5 linked regions of the Macaca fascicularis genome follow. The protein of the gene in region 5 purifies or fractionates together with the protein of the main gene of each other region. This does not show direct contact. Links are inferred from orthologs where the notes say so. Each region holds a gene or a part of one and is shown on either strand. Other genes may lie near its edges.

Region 1 (4,050 bases), on a different chromosome or scaffold from region 5:
ATTTTCCTGGGCTCTTTCCCTGGACACCCCGTCCACACCTGCCTGGCTGCGTTCCCTCCTCACCTGATGTCCAGTGCCTTTGCTTGTTCTTTCAGCTTCTTGGCCACATATCGCCGAAGTTTTGTTCTCCAGTTTAGTAGCAACCTGCCCCAGAGATACTATTACTGATCTTGCCATCTCCCGCTTTGTCCCTGCCCCCTTGTTTTAGGCTCACTATCCACCTTTTCAGGTTTCAGCTACATAAACCAAAAGGCTCAGGCCCCTACCCCAAACCTTTAGCACAGCAATATCCTCTTCCCAGAGATCTAACATCATGGCCTTTCCCGCCTCCAGGGCTCCTGGCCCCCATGCCCACCCCGCTGCATACCTGAGCTCCTTGCGCCCCAACACTCTGATGTCCTGACAGCACACCCGTATGTCTTCAGTGGTAGCTGGATGCTGTGCCAACTCTTCATCATCTACCATGATCTGTTTGGGAGGAGGGAAAGGTGTCGGGAGATTCTCAGGCCATGTTTCCGGGGCTACCTCATGTCCCTCAAGGCTGGAGACTCACTTCGCTGGCCTTAGACAGGAAGTCGACAGGGTTGGCAGCTCGGAGGAAGTCAGTGACTGAGGTACGGTGATAAAGAGTGAGGTCGCCCTCAGCATAGCCTTCAGCCTTAGGGAGAAAAAGAGAGAAGATTGGGCAGTCCCTTCTGGGTATCTGTAGGACCCACCAGGCCCAACCTCTCCAGAGTTCCAGGACCCAAGGGTGGCCCCATTCCCCAAAACACACCTTTGGCTTCTTCTTAGTCACCAATTCAGTAACAGTCTTAGCCTGAACTTCAACCTCCTTGAAGGCAAATTTGGGGTCGAAGAATTTACTGTCAACCTTGTCAGGGGCCAGGAATCCTAAAAATGACAAGATATATTAAAAAGTGTGCTTTGGGAGTTGGGAGGCTGGATCAAGAGAAAGGAAATGATGCCCACCTTGGCAGACTACAAAGATCTCTGCAGATTCGTGGCGAGAGGCTTGGGGCTTGGTGGCCTGGACACGGCGGAACAGCTGCTGAAAGATCCATAGCAAAGGCTGATAGTCACGAGAACGGAAAACCTTTGTGATGAAGCAGCCACCCCGGGCCAAAAAGTCACAGGCCAAACGCAGAGCCATCAGTGTCAAATGGGCTGTAGGATAGAGACAATTAGTTGAGGCACTGCAGCCCAGGAGGGCATGCACCCAACTCCACCATTGCCTGATCTCCAAACACCACACTCCCTGTACCTTGTGAGTAAGCATCATGGACCCAGCTAGCCCCCACATTGGGGGCCCCATCATTGAGCACAACATCAACCTTCCAGGTCTTCAGCTCCTTCCTCAGGGCCTAAAAAGAAAAGGAACTATGGAAACACAAACACAGGAATGGCCCTGGTTCAACCATTTGTCCATCCCGTTATTTGTTGAGTGCCCATTATGGGCCAAATGCTCTACCAGGCACAGGAGATAACAATAGTAAACAAAAACAGTATGTCTCTACCTTCATGGAGCTTACAGTCTGACAGTGAGTTCACAGGAAAAAACTTCACTAAAGATCTCTGCCCTTCTCCCAATTCCAAACACCTTTATCCCTGACTCTAAATAAAGGTTGGAGTGGGCACTACGAATACCATGGGTCTTGTACAAATGTCAGGCAAGAATGTGCTCAAAGCATGGTAAATAGAAAAAAATTGCCTTTAGAGGATTTCAGGGATGTGGATGTTTCCGTATAAAGGGGGAAGGAAGAGAAAGACTCCTATTACCTGCCTACAACGTTCTGTTGTGATGTCCTCCTGGAGAGTCACCACATTGGGGAGAGGCTTGATTGGAACCAGGTCCACTCCTGGAATAAATCAGGTCAGAGTATTCTAAAGGGTTGCCTCAAGCAGGGAGGAGAGAAATACAGGACAAAGTACTTTATACACCGACCCCTTAAAACATCAAGGAGAGCTGTCCGTTACTCACCCACAATAAGGCTGGATACAGGCATAAACTTGGCAGCTACCTGCAGCCTATAAAAGGAATAGGAATTTAAAAACCTACAGCCATCCTTGTCCCCCTCTTGGCAACTGACCTCTCATCCCTGGTGTTACGTGCACTGGCCAGAACATATCATAGGCACGTATTCCAAGTCCTTTCTCTGCAGTCAAGAAAGGAAACGGCCTCCAAGGGGACCGGGATTCGGGATTCCTCTCCCGCAATGAAACTGGAAACCATCGCAGCTCAGAACACAGAAAGCGGCCACCAGGAGCAACCTGTGGCAAGTGTTACGAACCATCCCCCTGGCGCAGCACACAGGTCCAGCAAGGCTCGGGCTTTCTGCAGGAACTGAAAGCGGCGATTGAGCTGGATCAGCTTGAAAGCAGATCGGGAACGGTAACCTGGACAAAACAACCAAGTGCGCAGAGGGCTTCACCATCACCAGCAGGATTTCTCCAGCCTCGCAACCCACTACCCCTTCTGCAGGAGAGGTACACAATGGTCAGAAAGAGCAGGCGAACCGGGCAGAGATCGCTCGCTCGCTCGCACGCAGACTGAGCGAATCTGGACTCACCCGTCTCCTTCGCCAAGTGATAAAACTTGTCCCGTCGGCTCTTGCCAACTTTGCCCTTCTTGCCCATGGTGGAATGGGGGAGTATCGCTCAATCTGGGGAGAAAGTAGAAGTTGAGGACGTCTCTTTCCGGATCACCAGATTCCTCTTTCAGTTTCCCACTTCCCGCAGCAATTCCACTCCGCTCCCCTCTCCGCACACTCTACCTAGACCCACGGCCGCTTTCTCCACACTCGGAACCGCACATGTATGCAGCAAACGTACTTCCGCTTCCGCTTGCGTCCCTGGCTCGAGGTTTTCCGCCATTTTGAGTGTGGCCATAGATTGTTCTCGGTACTCTGTCCTCGGATTTTGTAAGTTGAAAGTTGAGACTAGGAAGGCACATTACAAGAACTACAAACATAGTTTCAATGAGGCAACATTGAGGAGTTCTGCTCCTTCCTCTTCCCCCTCCAAAGCCCCTGAACTCTCGTAGCCGCCCCTCCCATCATGGTCCCCTTAGTTAGTGTGGTCTGGCCGCGCACCCCGCCCATTGACCCGGAACTCTTCTCTGCCTGGTCTTCAGGTCACAAGCCTCCGCTTCCGCGCCTGCGCGCAAAGGGGACTCGGATGCCGGCGGTCTCTGCTGAAGAGAGAAGATGGCGCTTGACGGGCCAGAGCAGGTATGGCGGCTGCAGTGGCGGCCCGGCAGGTTACGGGGCTGGGTGCGGAGCGAGCGTAATCTAAGTGGAGAGCGGGCCGGGGCAGGAGGGTTGGGTGGGTCGGAGGTGGCTGGAGTAGTCCAGGCTGGACGCTGCCTGCGACTGGATCTGCTGTGTCAGCGCCGCCCTCGGTGAGTCAGGGCAAGGCTGGGAGAGGAATACGCGGTAGAAGCGGAGTGAGTGAGGGGAGCGATGGGCGCGGGAACGGCCGGCCCACGGGTCGCAGGAGACGGGACGCCAGTCCTTCGGCTCCGTTCCGCTTGCTCCGTCGGCAGTAACGACACCTCGGGCTTGTAGAGCGCTTCACGCAGTGCAAAGCGCCCCCGTGTATATCATATCGCCTCTCGGTCCTCCTAAAAGTCGTACAAGGTAGGCGGCGTTCCCATTTTTTTATTTTAGTCGTGGGAAAATGGAGGGTTCCCAGGGAGGGAGGGATTAGAACCCAGATGCTGAGCCTCCGAAGTCCAAACTTTTTTTACTACGCAAAGCTACCTGGTGTCAAACCTTATTCAAAGTGCCCTGCAAGTGGCTTTATCCCCTCGGATGTTTAACCTGTCGTTTAAGACTCACTCTGTGTCTTCAGATGGAACTGGAGGAGGGGAAGGCAGGCAGCGGACTCCGCCAATATTATCTGTCCAAGATTGAAGAACTCCAGGTGAGGACGGACTTCAGAGAGAGCTAGGAAGCGGGATGATGGGGGATGGAAACGGACTTCCACAAATCCATCTAATTCCACTGGGAGTGCAGTGGAAGAAGCTGCTGCTTCTCCTTTCTTGTTTGTTTC
Region 2 (4,185 bases), on a different chromosome or scaffold from region 5:
CCCCTGGTTTAGTGAATAAGCACCTGTAATCCCAGGAAAATTCAGGATTAAGGACAGAAATAACGAAGTAAATTGAAGTCTTAGCATTAATATTTTCCATTACATTTTGGAATCGTCTAATTTTATGTATTGATGACGGTAAAAATAATTCAACATGCTAATGTATGGATTAATTTTGCAATTCCATTTTAAAATGTTAAATGGAATAACGATTCAGATTCGTTAAGTCGACATGTGTAACAGAATTCAACCACATCTGTAAACTATATTAAAATTATGTGAGTAAGATTTACCGGCCATATTTTTTAGGTTTGACATATTAGATTTGTGAGTGAACTATGTACTTGGATTTTGTCAAGTAACTCAATCGATTAACAAAATAACAATTAAATGTATAAATGTAGTTTATAGCTATACAGCATTTTTAAAAATCCCCTTCGAATGACTCTTTAAAATATATCAGGGGATATGCTACTTAAGCATAACTAGGTTTTGGATTTATAACGTTAATATTAATTATTAAAGCAAAACTCATTTCTAAATAGTCGCCTGAGAGCCCAAAAGACGCCCTCGAGGACAGGGAAGGAGCTCCGATTCACTTGGCGCTCGCCGGTGCCCAGAATTCAGGGCCGCTCAAGCGGAGGAGCAACACGTGGCCAGCAAAAGAAGCTGGGTCCCGTGCAGCACAGCAACAAGAAACTGGCCTAGGAGGACGCTGGAGCGTCTTTCTTTCGCACGTCACTGCCTGACACCGTCATTTTAAAAAATAATAAATAAAATTAGTAGTACGAAGAAAGCTGCGCAAGCCACGTTCCCAGCAGGGTCTGCGCCAAAGCGCGCAAGGAAACGCTCCCGTTCCGGGTGGGAGGAAAGGATGCACGGCCCACCCAGCGCTGGGGAGGCTCGTCCCCGAGTAGGGGACGGGAACGGATGGGTCCCGGGGACTTGGGGCGCAGGGTCTGGGGCCCGAGGCCACGGGCGCAGCGGGCAGCCGGCTAGGCAGCGGTCTCTGGGATGGACGCCGTGCCCTACGCGGAGCCTCCCACCCCGACTTCACCCATCTCTGCTGCCCGCAACTTATATGACAAGAACATCTGGAACTGGACTATTATACCGAAAGGGCCTACCCATGTCTTTTCGCTGCCAGCAAGGCCCGACTCCGGGCCGCGCGTCCCCGGCAACCGCGCCCGCCCACGCAGCTGCAGAGGCCAGAGAAGGCCTGCTCGCCCGCGCTCGGCGCCACCCAGCCCGCGCTCCGGGCGATACCACCCCGGGCGGCCCCTCTAAAGGCCGGGAGATGGTGTCGTCCCCGGCCTCCGATTGGTCTGCGGGGCGGGGGCGGGGCCTCTGGAGCCTGGTTCCGCGCGCCGGAGCGCGCTAGCCGCATTGCGAGCCGAACCCGGGAGCAGGCGCCATGGTGAGGAGTGGTTGTGGGGCGCGGGCGACGCGAAGGTGGGGGCTTCGGTCTGGGTTCGCGCTTCAGACAGAGCCTGGGCCTGGGCCTGGGCCTGGGCCTGGGCCTGGGCCTGGGCCTGCGCCTGCTCTCGGAGCGGGTTCCGGCAGACGCGGAGGTTGAGCTGACGCTAGCGCCCCGGCTCCCGTTCCAGGTACTGTTGCACGTGCTATTTGAGCATGCGGTCGGCTACGCGCTGCTGGCACTGAAGGAAGTGGAGGAGATCAGTCTGCTGCAGCCGCAGGTGGGTGAGATCCATGGGCTCCTCAGGCGGCCTCGCAGACCCTCACCGCGCAGGTCCCAGCATGCAGCGCGCGCTCCCACGTGGCCGGCCGAGAGGTTCGGGGCGGGGGGCGGGCCTGGAAAGCTCTAGATCCGGGGGTCTTTACCTTGACTCATGGGAAGAATCGCTCTAGCAGTTAGAAATAAGCCTCCCGGACCCCGCGCCGGAACGATTAAAGCAGAAGCTGGGTTGTGGGGTCCCGCTGTCAGCATATTTTAAGAGCTTCCAAGGCTGAGAACCGCTGCTTTATGCGCCGCAGAGGCAGGAGGGAGGGAAGGAAACCACTCAGCCTCTTTCTCCCCCGCTAGGTGGAGGAGTCCGTGCTCAACTTGGGCAAATTCCACAACATCGTTCGTCTGGTGGCCTTTTGTCCCTTTGCCTCGTCCCAGGTTGCCTTGGAAAATGCGAACGCCGTGTCTGAAGGTGAGTCGGCCACCACCAAGTATCACAGGGAGATGTGGTTCCTTCTGGTATCCTCTCGGGCAGCTTGTGATAGTATTTGCCGTCCTTGGCCGGCTGTGAGTCTGATAGGTGTGAGGCAGTATTTGAGACATAACTGTGTAATTTGAAATAATTGTCTTCACAGAGCTCAAGATCTGGGAACTGTGATGGACCAAACTGTTGAAAGCAGATGATGTGGGATGTGTGTTACGTTTCCTTGTGGGCACTGTAGTGACAGATTATTTATTTTTTGAGACAGAGTCTCTGCCCTCCAGGCTGGAGTGCAGTGGCACGATCTGGGCTGACTGCAACCTCCGCCTCCCTGGTTCACGCGATTCTTCTGCCTCAACCTCCCGAGTAACGGGGATTACAGGCGTGTGCCAGCCACCACACCCGGCTAATTTTGTGTTTTTAATAGAGACGGGGTTTCACCATGTTGGCCAGGATGGTCTCGATCTCCTGATCTCGTGATCCCCCGCCTCGGCCTCCCAAAGTGCTGAGATTACAGGCGCGAGCCACCGTGCCCGGCTTGACAAAGGGGGTTTCTTAAAGGGGGTTGGCTTAACACCTACCTGTGCCTGAGTTTTTTGCCTAAACACAATCAGGTGTCTAGTTTTCTGCTATTTGCTTGGAAAGGGCGGTTGGATAAACACAGGCTAAGAAAAAAAGGTTTGGTTCCAGAAGGCAAATTCTACTAAATACTCAAGGGTGTGTTACAAGCTATTATTTATTGCACGATTGTGCTATCAGACCTGAGTGCAGTTGTTCCCATGGCTGGGCCAGGCTTTGCAGTGATGACTTGCGAATCAAATCTGTCAATCCCCTGAGTGCAGTCACTGATGTCTCCATGTCTCTGAGCAATGCCTGATGGGGAGGGGTCTAGGTATGCCATCCCAGCATGCTCCGTGGAAGCAGGGTAATCAGCTGAGGAGATGTTAGAATTGATCATCCTTCAGCCTGTGAGTGGGAACTGTGTTCTTTCCTCTGAGGGGTTGTTCATGAGGACCTCCGCCTGCTCTTGGAGACCCACCTGCCATCCAAAAAGAAGAAAGTACTCTTGGGAGTTGGGGATCCCAAGATTGGTGCTGCAATACAGGAGGAGTTAGGGTACAACTGCCAGACTGGAGGCGTCATAGCTGAGATCCTGCGAGGTGAGACCATCATCTGTTATATTCATGTTATCCTTGACATTTTCGGGGAGGAGGTTCTGGAAACGTGGGTGCTTGTTGTGACTTCTGGGAAGGCCTTGGACTTGGCTGGTGCCCATGGGTGCGGGAGCTAGCTCAGAGCCCCTTGTTGCTCACCGTCCTGCCCTCTTCTTAGGAGTTCGTCTGCACTTCCACAATCTGGTGAAGGGTCTGACTGATCTGTCAGCTTGTAAAGCACAGCTGGGGCTGGGACACAGCTATTCCCGTGCCAAAGTTAAGTTTAATGTGAACCGAGTGGACAATATGATCATCCAGTCCATTAGCCTCCTGGACCAGCTGGATAAGGACATCAATACCTTCTCTATGCGTGTCAGGTAAAGTGCAGGGGCCACCCATAATACTGGAGCCTTTGGTCTGTAGTTTAGCTAATTTTGAGTCTTGATGAGGACTGACCATCCTGTGGGTAGAACTATGTGGACTGGGGCTGGGTCTAGGCCTCCTGGTGCTTACCACAGGCTGTGTTCTTACACTGACTGTATAGAAAGAGGAGGTAGAGTAAACCTACCCTATATACACCTCAGCTCAGGCCCTGTGCCTGGTCTGTATTGTGAATGGGGGAACATAGAATGAAGATTTGTAGCTCTATGGTTTTTGATGAAGCAGCTGGGCCAGGGAGTGACTGTGGCTCTTTGCAGGGAGTGGTATGGGTATCACTTTCCGGAGCTGGTGAAGATCATCAACGACAATGCCACATACTGCCGTCTTGCCCAGTTTATTGGAAACCGAAGGGAACTGAATGAGGAAAAGCTGGAGAAGCTGGAGGAGCTGACAATGGATGGGGCCAAGGCTAAGGCTATTCT
Region 3 (4,081 bases), on a different chromosome or scaffold from region 5:
CAACAGTTGCAATGAGGCACATGACTATGATTTTTTAAAAATACAAGTATAAACCTATCACTGTTACCTCAGAAAACAAATCTGTGCAATGTTATCCTCAGGTTTTGTGATCTTGGCAAATCAATTTCTCATATTCAGAAAATTTAACAAATGCATAAATATGCATACACACAATATAGATCACCTAACTTATTTATTGAGCAACTTCTAAGTTGAGAGAAAAGCTAGTCTCTGGTAGACATGTAAGATTATCGATGCCTTTTACAAGGGCTTTATAATCCAACTGAAGAAAATAAGGCAAGTTTAACAATGTGACTGGATTTTACATGGTTACCAAATGAGTATAGATGCCAAGTTCTTCATCAAAGATGTACAGACAGTGAGGTACACACAATACCCAGGTGTAAGAAATAGTATTTTATAAGCAGTCAGCAAAGGAAAAGTCTCAAGCCACATGAATAGAAACTAAAAGGCTGAAATCAAGTAGGGTTAAGTAGTTTATTTTGAAAGTTTAAGTACCGTTCTTAAAGATAACTGGTGCTCATTTTCATCATTATCCACCTTAAAGTGATAATCTTTGTCGGCCTTTAGTTCACAACCTGTAAATGAAGAAAAAAGCAACTCTAACAAGGAGAAAAATAACACTGAAACTTAAGTGTGGGTAACCAAAAAGGTCAGGTCTAACTTTTGAACTAGTTTTCACAATTTTAGCTACCAGAGGGCAAAGCAGAATGATCAATTCCTAGATTTCTTGAACAGAAACCTCTACAAACAAGTAACACCCATAGAAGTCTACAATTCTATCTTCTCCTCATACCATATTTCATCTCTAACTACGCTGATAGGCACTGTTATTCTGCATACAGAAACGAGCTCAACGGTTTAGTAAATCTGAACCTAAAACAATTACCTGAAACCAAATGTAATGTCCAATGTTAAGTTTCCCACTATTTAAAACAGCTGATTTACCCACCTAAATTCCCAAATGGAAAGTTCGAAATGAGAACGGTTACAAACATGAATAGCTTACTATTACAAAAGAAAAACGACAAAGGTAAAAGAACCAAAGCTTGCTACAGGGGTCAACACTCTACTCTTTAAAGCAACAGAAAGTGACATACGCCTGAAACTATATTCAGAAACTATGTTTAAGACAAGGAGGGTTGTTTCCAACAGTTATCAAAAAGTACTGATATAAATTTATCAGAATTCTCAGTTATCCAAAACAGCTAGGAATTAAAGCCTTAATGTTTTAAATACATGTGTCTACTGCCACTCCATCCATGCATGGGCAAAATTCTTTAAAATACTGTCAGAATAAAAATTTTAAATAATTCCATTAACTACCATCTAACTGTTACCAATACATATACATGCTTAAATGTGAAGAGGTTTAATTAACAAATCTCAGCACGGATAATGAACAAGATAAAATTCACGGTAGGATTCGCACTTACTTCAAAGTCTGAATAGTATAAAGATTAGGCTTCTGTAATTAAACCTACTGACATTAAAAACCCAAGTGGGACTCTCCTTTTTGGGGCAGGGCTACCGCAAGTCGAAGGTGGTGGTGGTCCCAAAATTCTGCGAATAGTTTTAGGTCTTGATCTGACTCAAATCGAACACTCTACGTGTTTCTTGTATTTAAATAAGCGGTTTGGTCAATGCTGCACAAATGGCGGCATGCGAGGACGTCCCCCTAAAACGAAGCCTCATTAATATTCACGAAGCAGCAGCTACGAGTCAAGGGTCTTGGTTTAGTTTTAGCCTCTTTGCCTATAAGTACAACCTTCGTTAAGTGAGTTAATCTCTGGGCACCAGTGCCGTCATCTGCAAAGTGGGGCTAGCTCCAGCTACTGCAGTGAGACAGAAAAGGGGCTCAAAAAAAAAGAGCTGCCATCACAGTAGATGCTGTAAGCACTGAACAAAGGCCTCCAGAATCCTAGTGTTACCAGCCTCTTAACATTTCCCACTTCAACTGAGCCACAGCATCCCTTGATCTGGAGTAACAACATGCTGGTGAGCCCCGGATGTAGTGCCCACACCCCCCTCCCTCCCCCAACCACGTGGCAACCACGTGCTCCCAGCGGTTGCGGCCTCCTCACGCCGCGCCGCGCCTCCCCTCCCCCAGTAACTGGCCGAAGCACGCGAGTGAAGTCTGGGTCCGGCAGCTCCAGACTCAGGTCAGAACAACGCCAGGCTGTGCATCTACCCTCTCCAACAAGCAGGCCCATGCTTCCCGGTAAACCCAGCCTCCGGGACCACCAACCCGGGGCCTGGGATCAGAAGCCTACGAACGAACTCCGTTAGAAAATAAACCACGCCTGGGGCTCCGCGGCGTATCCCCGGCAACGGCCGAACTTCCAGGCGGCCAGTTCCGCTACACCTCAGGCCCTGGGCCTCGGACTGCTCACGCTCCAGGCGCTTCAGGCCGCTCGTCTCCTCCCCCTTCACGCCTCCGGCTCCCCCCGCGGCTCCAATCCCACCAGGTCCAGGGCTCGGGCAGCTCTTCCCACCCGCTCAGGCCTCCAGCCGGTCTGGCGGTCTCCACCAGACCCTGCTGCAGCCGGATTCCCTCCCCTCACCCCCGCCTTCACCGCCACCAGGCCCCGCTCGGCCTCGCTCCAGCTCCCCCCTGCAGTTACCGAAAAGATAGTTCTGGGGCCTCAGGGGGCTCATGTCCATGTCCATCGAATCTTCCATCAGGTGGCGGCACGCACTTAGGTGGGAGAGAAGGCGGACGGAGATAAACCAACGCTGCTCCAGAGAACAGCCGCGCAGGACGGAATCACACCAGGGAAAGGACGCAAGCTCCCCGCGCTTATATATAGCCCCTGAAGATCTCGCGAGCGCTTCTCAAGTCCCGCCTCCGCGCGCGTGCTCCGGAGCCTTCCCACCCCCGTACCGTAGCTCTCCTGCGCAAGCGCTCTTCAACCACACTCCTTTCTACCTCGCCCCCCACCTCCTTCCAGGTACTCCGCGGGCTCCCACCGAGCACGCGCACTCGTACACTGGCCCCACCCCTCCACCGCTGTCGCCTGTGCGCACGCGTGCTTTCCAGTCGTAACGCGCGCTCCCCACCTCCAACACTTCCACGTCCTCTCCCGCTCAAGCGCTCCGGCCTCCCGCCAAGAGTCTGCGTAGCCCACCCTGCAAAATGGCGTCGGCAGCTCTTAGCTGTGTTAGATATGGCGGGTTGTTAGCTGGCTGGGAATGAGCCGGAGAGCACCTCGATTCACTTCCCCCATACCCTAGTGCCTTGCAAACCTCCAAACAGGCGTAATCATTTCAGGATTTTTTTTTACTTGCCTGAAGGCTTGGGATCGCAGTTAATCGTTACCCCAAAGTTCAGGTGCCGGAGAGTGAATTGCGGCTTATTCTTTGTTAGGAAGGAAAGATGTAGCTACCGGCCAGGCTTACGGAACTGTGTTTTTACAGTTCTGCCCTTCCTGAGAAAACATCTCCAAAGTCCTCATCTTTATGTAATTTGGGGGCCTAAAGGGGACTGAATCAGTCTCCAAATGAGCAAGGACATCGCCCTAAGAGAGCTCGGAGGGTGGGCAGACTCTTGACTTCTTGCCGCTCTTAATCTTTAGGATTCCTCCTGAAAGAAAGCGAGTGACTTATAAGAACTACAGAAGCCTTAATCGAATATTTGGTAGCGAGTATGGGAATTAACATTTTAAGCTACACGTTGACAAACTCCGAGGTACCCCAGCAGCCCCGGGCATTGGGGCGTTCTGAAGACCCATAATTTTTTTTTTAGCCTCAACATATCAAATTTAAGAAGTGAAGAATATAAATGATAGCCTCAGAAAGGAAGACCCCCCCACCCCAAGGCATTATTTCTTACAAGAAAATTATACAGACGATTTCAGCATCCATCAAAAGAGGAATGAACAGTTAAATTATAACATATCCATAATATGCGTTAGTTTTGACACATACTAACGCATAATATGGATATGTTATAATTTAACTCTTCCTTTCTGAGAGCGCCTGTGTCACATAAAGCTTTGAGTCACTAAATTTGTTATGTTTTTTTTTCTTTTTTTTTTTTTGTGGAGAGAGTCTTGCAGTG
Region 4 (4,223 bases), on a different chromosome or scaffold from region 5:
GTGCTACTGCACTCCAGCCCGGGCGACAGAGCGAGACTCCGTCTCAAACAAAACAAAACAACAACCAAAAAAACCCTGAATAGAATGAAATAGAAAATCAGCAAATCACACAAAACAAGTTTAAATATTGTCTCATATGGCTTTTATTTCAGTTATGCTTACATGTATGTGTATGTGTGCTGGTTTGTGCTATGAAACTTTTTTTGAAAACCCTCATCTTCTCTGTGATGGTAAAAACTTACTTCTTATTGTGAGCCAGTCTGCAAAATGCTCTTCTAGAAAAATCTGTCTATACCTGCACAAAGATTGTTCCTAGCAGCTTCATGTAAAGAGTTAAAAATAGTAAAAAACCTAATGTTCAGGCTAGGCACAGTGGCTCGCTCACACTTGTAATTCCAGCACCTTCGGAGGCCGAGGTGGGCGGATCACCTGAGGTCAGGAGTTTGAGACCAGCCTGGCCAAAACATGGTGAAACACGGTTTCTACTGAAAATATAAAAATTAGCCAGGTGCAGTGGCCAGTACCTGTAATCTCAGCCACTTAGGAGGATGAGGCAGGAGAATCACTTGAATGTGGAGGCAGAGGTTGCAGTGAGCTGAGATCGTACCACTGCACTACAGCTGCCTGGTGACAAGAGTGAGATTGTCTCAAAAAAAAAAAAAACCCCAAAACAAAACCTAATGTTCAATAGGAGCGTGGATAAACTTTAGTTACCTAAGTAACAAGCAATGATGATAACAAAGGCACTAGAGTTACACGGATAAAGCTCAGATTATTGAGTAAAAAAATTCAGCTGAAGAATGATAGAAATAATTTTAAAATAATACTATATGTACATTTATATATGTACACACGTGTTGTAGCACATATATATATAGATACAGTAAAAACTTATAAACATATATAGCAATGAAAACTGAATTTGTGGCCAGGAGCGATGGCTCACGCCTGTAATCCCAGCACTCTGGGTGGCTGAGGTGGGAGGATCACAAGGTCAGGAGTTCGAGAACAGCCTGGCCAACTAATGAAACCCCGTCTCTACTAAAAACACAAAAAAAATGTAGCCAGGTGTGGTGGCAGGTGCCTATAATCCCAGCTACTTGGGAGGGTGAGGCAAGGAGAATCGCTTGAACCTGGGAGGCGGAGGTCGCAGTGAGCTGAGATCGCACCACTGCACTCCAGTGCAAGCTTCTGTCTCAAAAAAAAGAAAACGGAATTTGTGAATTTAATTCCCTAATTAAAGGAGAAGGTGAAGAACACTGGGAAGGGTACAAAAGGGACCTCAATTCTACCTATAATCTGTATCTTTAGGACAACTAACAGATGATGGATGCACACCCTATCCCCTAGATGCTAAATCAAATAGGTGCCTATGGCTACAACCCAAGTTTATGTGCCGGGATTCTATGTTTCAGATTCTAAACCTCCACTCTTCTTTTTGGAATGAAATCTGATAAGAGTATGTGAACGTGCTCTTTAATGTCAAGAATCACACACATTTGAAAAACAAAACGTCAAATCCAACTTTAAAAATCTTACCCTTTTACTTCTGGACAGTCTGAATCGTGTCACAGTGCCAAACTGGGAGAAATACGAAAAGATCTGGGTTTCGTTAAGTAGGTTAGGTAGGTGGCCCACATAGACTACTCCAGAAGTAAGTCGTTCTTGTTTTTTCCGCTGAAGACATAAAGACCAGGTAAATTAAATATTTTTTAAAATAAGAAAATCACATTGTAACAAAACTTACAAAACCCCTAGCCCTAGGCCCAAGAACCTACTCCGCATTTCCACTTACCACAGTAGTAATTAAAGAAGTGGCTGTTGAGTGTCTCTCTCCCCACAAAGGCCATGGCCAAGCAGTAATCAACTATCTTTCCAGCCTGGCATCCCAGCACCCAGTATAATGTTAGTGCTCAATAACTATGTCAATCAACGGATAAGCAAGGACATCTTCGAACAAGCCATTTTGGATCTTCTGCCCAGAGAACTCTACATAAATATAGCCTTCAATTTTGTATGCATATTACTGTTTACTCGCATTTCATCGAAAAATTTTCGAGACGCTTGCTAACTCTCACAATACAGATTAGCCTTTCAGCGTCTCAACCATCATACCCTTACCTCTGTAACAAGAACTTCTAAGTTTTCCTGTGTAGTTTATGCTAAAAACCACAGAAAGTATAAGCGATGTCAGGGGCCCTGGTCAGCAAGCGGAACCTGGCAACTACTCTATTTTAATAACTCCCAGATCACCAACCCGGCATACAAACCTCCCGAATGTGTTAAGTCTGGGGCCCCCGTTTTCGGGGGGAACGCGGAAGCGTGACAGGTCTAACCCGGAGACAACCTGTGGTATGGGAACCTATTCCCTCCAGGTGGTTCCCTCCGCGGCTTCCGTCACCCCAATACTTCCCCCTTACCCTCCACATGAAGGCTCCAAGGCCTCAGCGGCCAAACCTCTCCATCATTTACCCACCAGCGTAAACCCTTTAGTCTCAGAAACCGTGGCCTGCAAGCTTAAGAGGTGGGTCCCTGATTCGGTCAAATCCGCTAAGGATACTCTGGAAGGCGTGCGCGAAGGCAAGGGGAGTCCGGGCGGGGAACCGCGCAACCCCGGATACCCCCTAGACCCTGTCCGTCGCCCCCGCTCGCAGCCTGGACCAGGGTGCCTGCTCACCTGGGTTATGCGCTTGCGAACCTGCGCCACCTCCTTTTGAAACTCGGCATCTTCCTGCGGGTTAAGCGACAGGATCGGCCCAGCTGGGCCAGAAAAAGCCGCCATGCCAAAAGCGGCCAACACTAACTCCACGCGGCGCTCCCGGAAACGACGGGCTCCCAGCTCCCCTGAGGCGGAAGTAGAGGCAGGACAGGGGCGTGGCGAAGCGCGGAGGCGAGGCGTGGCGAGGGGTGGGGAGGGCCATGAGTCGCGCGCGGGGTTGGAGCAGGAGTAGCACGGAGAAGCGGGGGTGGGGCACGAGGCGCGGGGCGCGGGACGCGGGACGGGGCATAAATTGTGCCGTGGTGCGAGGGCGGGGCACGAGGCCTGGCGAGGGGCGGGGAGAGGCATGAGTCGCGCGGAGGCGCGGCACCGGGCGTGAGTTGTGCCGAGGCGGGGGTGGGGAGTGGGGCGGGACGGGGGTGGGGTGGGGACAGGGGTGGGGGTGGAGACGGGGGGGGGTGGACAGAGCGGTGCGGGGCAGGGGGGCCCCGGGGCGGGGGGGAGTGGGGTCTGGGGCTGGGCTGGGGATAGTTTCCGCGCCCTCCGCTGTAGGGGCGCCGATTGGCTTGGCTTAAGAGTGCCTGAAACAATTACCTTCACGCCTACTTAGAAAGGCGGTCTACAATTATAAAACAGTACTGGTGCCCGAGATGCTGCTCACATTCCTCAATTTGCTTATTATTATTTTCGAAACAGTTTCCGCTCTGGTTGCCCCAGCTGCAGTGAAATGGCTCAATCTGAGCTGACTGCAACTTCTGCCTTCAGAGTTCAAGTGATTCTCCTGCCTCAGTCTCCCGAGTAGCTGGGATTACTGGCGCCCGCACCACGCCCCACTGGCTTATTTTTAGTAGAAATGGGGTTTCACCATGTTGGTCAGGCTGGTCTCGAAGTCCTGACCTCAGGTGATCTACCCGCCTCAACCTCCCAAAGTGCTGGGATAACAGGTGTGAGCCACCGTGCCCAGCCCTAATTTGGTTATTTCACTCACTAGTGTGTGAGCCCCTCCTGTGTGGAGACCCCTAGAGAATTTACAGCCTGGGGCAGCATGGCTGCTTTGAGAGATGAAAGAACCTCGTGGGGGAGAGGCACACTGGGTGACGCAGGAGGGTCCCCCTTAGGAGGTGGTGTTGGCAGCGAAGCCTGAAGGCTAAGGAGCAGGGTCTGGAGAACTGAGGCCCTGCCATCTGCTGGATCAGACAGGCCTACACATGTGTTCCTAGGTATAGAAAGAAGGACCCAGCAGTGGGGTTGGAGCCCAGCGTAGGAGGGAAGAGCTGCGAGGGGGCAGGCTGGAGTCCCATGGCTCTGTGTGTCAAAGTATGAAACTGGGGTTTTGTTGTAAATGCGAGGGGGTGGTTGGGTTTTAAGCGAGGCTGTGGCTGTTTACACCTTTTTTGTCCAGAACTGGTGGATTCTTGGTCTCCCTGACTTCAGGAATGAAGCCACAGACCCTCGTGGTGAGTGTTACAGTTCTTAAAGATGGTGTGTCCAGAGTTTGTTCCTT
Region 5 (3,518 bases):
AACAGCCATTGGTTTTACTACTTTGAATATTATATTTGATACCAAAAGAAGTATAAGTTTAAAAGTGGTCTCACTGAAACTATTATAATTTAATTGCTTTTTTTTTTTTTTGAGGTCCCTCTGTTGCCCAGGCTGGAGTGGAGTGCAGTGGCGTGATCTGGGCTCACTGCAACCTCTGCCTCCCAGGTTCAAACGATCCTCCTGCCTCAGCCTCCCAAGTAGCTGAGACTACAGGTACCAGCCACCATGTCCGGCTAATTTTTTAATTTTTAGTAGAGATGGGGTTTCACTGTGTTGGCCAGGCTGGTGTCAAACTCCTGACCTCAGGTGATCCGCCTGCCTCTGCCTCCCAAAGTGCTGGGACTCTATAGGAGTGAGCCACTGCGCCCGGCCTGCTTTGTGTTTTTTAGAAAGTAAACAAAAATAATCTGTACCAGGTATCCCGGTAACTGGCTTCATGTACAATTTCTACCCAATAGTCAGAAAGTTAAAAGCCACACTAGATAAGACATCTTTATTACTTAACCTTTAAAACAGTCACTTGCCTATCCAATTCTGAAACTGTTTTCTTTCCCTTCCCCGCACCCCCCGCTCTGATACACAAGCTTGTTGTAAAAATAATGCAGAAACATATACGTCAATTTAAGTGTGAAATATGGCCAACTCTACCTCACCCTATATCCAAAGTTAAAAATAAAAAAGGCTGTTTAAGAATAGAACTCATTCCTGGTTTCCACCAAATTATTTCCCTAATTCTTAAATCCTCAAATAAGTTCTTAATCTCCAGCCAAAGTCTCGGTTGTGGGAAAAACATTAATTTCTGCAGTCCAACACTTACATACTCTCTTGAGGGAAGGGCAATCCTGTCCCTTTAAACTCAATGAAGGCAGCGGCCAGGTCCTTCTGAGTCCCCGTACAAGTACCTAGAACTTAACACTTAGTATTTATAGTCCTTGGTTTTCAGTCGGGTCCGACGGTGAGAAACTATTACTTCCTCCTCGTTCCTCCTGGGCGCTGTCCTCCTTTTCTCTTGTCACCCAAGCCACGCGGCCCGGAATTCATCTTGCCTCCCAAGCTCCCTTTCCTCTTCCCTCCCTGGCTGGGCGGCCCCCCTTTCCTCTTGCCCCCAGGTCCCTGCCGGCCTCCCTTTCTCTTGCCCTTCTGGCTCATTTTCCTCCTCTTGGCGGCCTCCTCCTGGTCCTCCTCCCTCATCTGCTTATTGGTGGCTCTTGTCACATCCAGCTGAGGCTTTTTGCTGTTCATCACACGAAGCAGCTCCAACTGGTTCTTTTTCTCGGCTGCAAAGTCCCCGAAAAGGGGTTGAAACTTCCTCTTCTTGCCGGAGCCCCGGGGCGCCTTCTCCTTGGGGAGGCGCTCCTGGAAGCGCCCCACAGAGGCGGTGGAGACCTTGGCCACCTGCATAGCGCGGCCCAGCTCCTCCTTACTCTGGTGTCCGGTAGGGTGCAAGCCGGCCGCGCTGGGCAGCTGCATCTTGTGCGCGCGGGCCAGGTTACGCAGCCGGTTCAGCTCGTTCTTGGCCACTCGTTCTTTCTTGGCCTGAATACGCTTGGCGAACTGGTCCTCCAAGGGGTCGGCATTGCCGGGCACCTCAATCAGCCATTCCTTGGTGTCGTCCCGGGCGCGCTGGTAGCCCCAGCGCCGCCGCCACTGGCTGCTCACCTCGTCCCACACCAGGTTGGTCTTCTTCTTGGGACGGATGCCCTTGAGGCGCGCGAACTGCTGCCAGCGTGTAAGTGGCCGCGGCCGGGGCAGAGGCTTCTCTCGCGGCAGGCGTGTGGTGGGCTCCGGCAGCCGCGCCACTATCGTCTCTTCCACGCGCTCCGTGGGCAGCTGCCACAGCTGGTTGATGAGCAATTGCGTATTGTCCCGCGCCAGGGCCCGCAGCTCGGCCTCCGGCGTGGGTCCGGCGCACCGCAGTCCAATCGGGGGGTTCCGGTCCGAAGCCAGGAGGTTGCCCAGGTCAAACTCCAGCTCCAGCTCCTTGTGCACCGTGATGCGTTGCAACTTCTCTGCCTCGTCCTGCTCTGCCTTTGCCAGCAGCTCCTCCACGCTCTGGCCCTCCATGGCTCCGGCTCGGCTCACTCGCTTTGGGGCTGCAGCTGAAGTTACTTTTCCTACAGCGGCGGCCCAAACTCCGGCAACATAACCACGTGCAGACGCCGGGATGCCCAATCCGGAAAAGAAAGGTTCGCTTCCGGAGCGCCCGGAACCGGCTCGCCATCCGGGCAACCAGAGGAAAGGCCGGCAGAGGGCGGTATGGAGAGATGATAGGATTAGAAGCGGCACCTTAGGCTGACGCCTGATAGAGGCGGAGCTGGCGCCAGCAGCCAGCACTACTCGTTCCAGAGCAGGATTGGGACTACGATTCCCAGGATGCAGCGGGGCGCGGGGGCGGTCCAGGGGGCGGTCCTGGGACAGTCTCGCTGTCGGTCTAGAGAGGGCGGTCCTGGGGGGCGGTCTAGGGGGCGGTCCTGGGCGGGCAGTTCAGGGTGTGGTGTTAGGATGGTGGTCCGGGGACAGTCTTGGGGCGCAATCCGGCGGGGCGGTCCAGGACCAGGGCGGGTACAAATTCCTGGGACTGCCTGTGGTGTGGGTTTCCAATCAAGTGCATGTTACAATTTCTGTGTAAATCCGTTGTGAAGATGTTTAGACAATCACCCTTCTTAGGGCCAAATTGTTTCACCGGAGTCATAATTTGCTTTCAGGGTTCCTAGTTGTGGCACGAGAAACATAACATCCCACAGATGCTAATTGTAGAAGATTGGTTTTGTTTTGGGAGTCAGTGGCTCTGGCAATGAAGCTGCCCCGAGTGGGCGCAGGTGTGCACCGACCCTAGCGAGCTAGCTGACTTGGAGCTCCGGGGTTCTGCAGTTACAGAACCTAGTCTAGTACAATGCTGAAACTACGCTACACTCTGCAGTTACACTCTCCGCCAGGCTCTGCAGTTACACTGCCTAGGTTCCAATCCTGACTGTGCCACTGTTGGTGCTTCAGCAATTTTACTTGTTGAGGCCATTTTAAGGCCTGTGAGATAAGGATAAAAATACTTTCTAGGGTGGTTATAAGATAAATGAGTTAATATCTTCCAAGGGAGGGTTAAACGAGGGCCTGAAGCATATGAGTACTCGATACAAGTTAGCTAAATACCGATTATTTCGTTTTCATAGGCTCTGGGAGCTAAGCTGAAGAGGCAGTGCTGCATGGTGTTCTGCAGTGGTTCTTGAGTTAAACGGCCTACAGTCAGGTATCAGGTCACAATTACTTGGAGAGGATGTTTGACCTAAAGCCTTATTTATAAATTGACAAACATGAAACATTAGTTCCTGCTACATAGTAAGAACTCAATATGTGTTAGCTATTAGTATTAACTATGTTATTAATTATTGTATTAACTATATTATTTTCACAGATGAAACAAGGAGGGCTCAGAGAGGTGAAATGACTTATCTAAAGTTATGCAACTAGGAAGTATAAGAACAAGAGATATGTTAACTCTG

What was found. The genes of interacting proteins can lie anywhere in the genome.
Region 1: the proteins of RRS1 (region 5) and FTSJ3 purify together in Homo sapiens (affinity purification with mass spectrometry; 3 studies listed by BioGRID and IntAct, counting the BioPlex papers as one, with this or other methods). This does not show direct contact. The link is inferred for Macaca fascicularis from reciprocal best matches to the Homo sapiens genes RRS1 and FTSJ3.
Region 2: the proteins of RRS1 (region 5) and NOP56 purify together in Homo sapiens (co-immunoprecipitation; 3 studies listed by BioGRID and IntAct, with this or other methods). This does not show direct contact. The link is inferred for Macaca fascicularis from reciprocal best matches to the Homo sapiens genes RRS1 and NOP56.
Region 3: the proteins of RRS1 (region 5) and NPM1 purify together in Homo sapiens (affinity purification with mass spectrometry; 3 studies listed by BioGRID and IntAct, counting the BioPlex papers as one, with this or other methods). This does not show direct contact. The link is inferred for Macaca fascicularis from reciprocal best matches to the Homo sapiens genes RRS1 and NPM1.
Region 4: the proteins of RRS1 (region 5) and NIFK purify together in Homo sapiens (affinity purification with mass spectrometry; 3 studies listed by BioGRID and IntAct, counting the BioPlex papers as one, with this or other methods). This does not show direct contact. The link is inferred for Macaca fascicularis from reciprocal best matches to the Homo sapiens genes RRS1 and NIFK.

What each region holds. Positions count from the first base shown.
Region 1 is NC_088390.1:70,331,232-70,335,281, forward strand, and holds the start of FTSJ3 (pre-rRNA 2'-O-ribose RNA methyltransferase FTSJ3), read right to left. Parts: upstream 2,801-4,050; 5' UTR 2,772-2,800; intron 2,661-2,771; 5' UTR 2,635-2,660; coding exon 2,568-2,634; intron 2,395-2,567; coding exon 2,289-2,394; intron 2,026-2,288; coding exon 1,979-2,025; intron 1,857-1,978; coding exon 1,777-1,856; intron 1,362-1,776; coding exon 1,262-1,361; intron 1,165-1,261; coding exon 970-1,164; intron 892-969; coding exon 776-891; intron 659-775; coding exon 554-658; intron 469-553; coding exon 368-468; intron 145-367; coding exon 64-144; intron 1-63. Other genes in the region: PSMC5 (26S proteasome regulatory subunit 8), read left to right, coding at 3,175-3,227, 3,831-3,921.
Region 2 is NC_088384.1:84,652,073-84,656,257, reverse strand, and holds the start of NOP56 (nucleolar protein 56), read left to right. Parts: upstream 1-1,385; 5' UTR 1,386-1,414; coding exon 1,415-1,417; intron 1,418-1,607; coding exon 1,608-1,697; intron 1,698-2,044; coding exon 2,045-2,159; intron 2,160-2,963; exon of another isoform or gene 2,964-3,038; intron 3,039-3,166; coding exon 3,167-3,328; intron 3,329-3,500; coding exon 3,501-3,699; intron 3,700-3,818; exon of another isoform or gene 3,819-3,950; intron 3,951-4,020; coding exon 4,021-4,185. UniProt on the Homo sapiens protein: Involved in the early to middle stages of 60S ribosomal subunit biogenesis. Required for the biogenesis of box C/D snoRNAs such U3, U8 and U14 snoRNAs. Part of the small subunit (SSU) processome, first precursor of the small eukaryotic ribosomal subunit.
Region 3 is NC_088380.1:178,182,412-178,186,492, reverse strand, and holds the start of NPM1 (nucleophosmin), read right to left. Parts: upstream 2,801-4,081; 5' UTR 2,704-2,800; coding exon 2,646-2,703; intron 600-2,645; coding exon 520-599; intron 1-519. UniProt on the Homo sapiens protein: Involved in diverse cellular processes such as ribosome biogenesis, centrosome duplication, protein chaperoning, histone assembly, cell proliferation, and regulation of tumor suppressors p53/TP53 and ARF.
Region 4 is NC_088386.1:10,002,854-10,007,076, reverse strand, and holds the start of NIFK (MKI67 FHA domain-interacting nucleolar phosphoprotein), read right to left. Parts: upstream 2,801-4,223; 5' UTR 2,783-2,800; coding exon 2,678-2,782; intron 1,678-2,677; coding exon 1,540-1,677; intron 1-1,539.
Region 5 is NC_088382.1:76,416,385-76,419,902, reverse strand, and holds RRS1 (ribosome biogenesis regulatory protein homolog), read right to left. Parts: upstream 2,204-3,518; 5' UTR 2,086-2,203; coding exon 988-2,085; 3' UTR 501-987; downstream 1-500. UniProt on the Homo sapiens protein: Involved in ribosomal large subunit assembly. May regulate the localization of the 5S RNP/5S ribonucleoprotein particle to the nucleolus.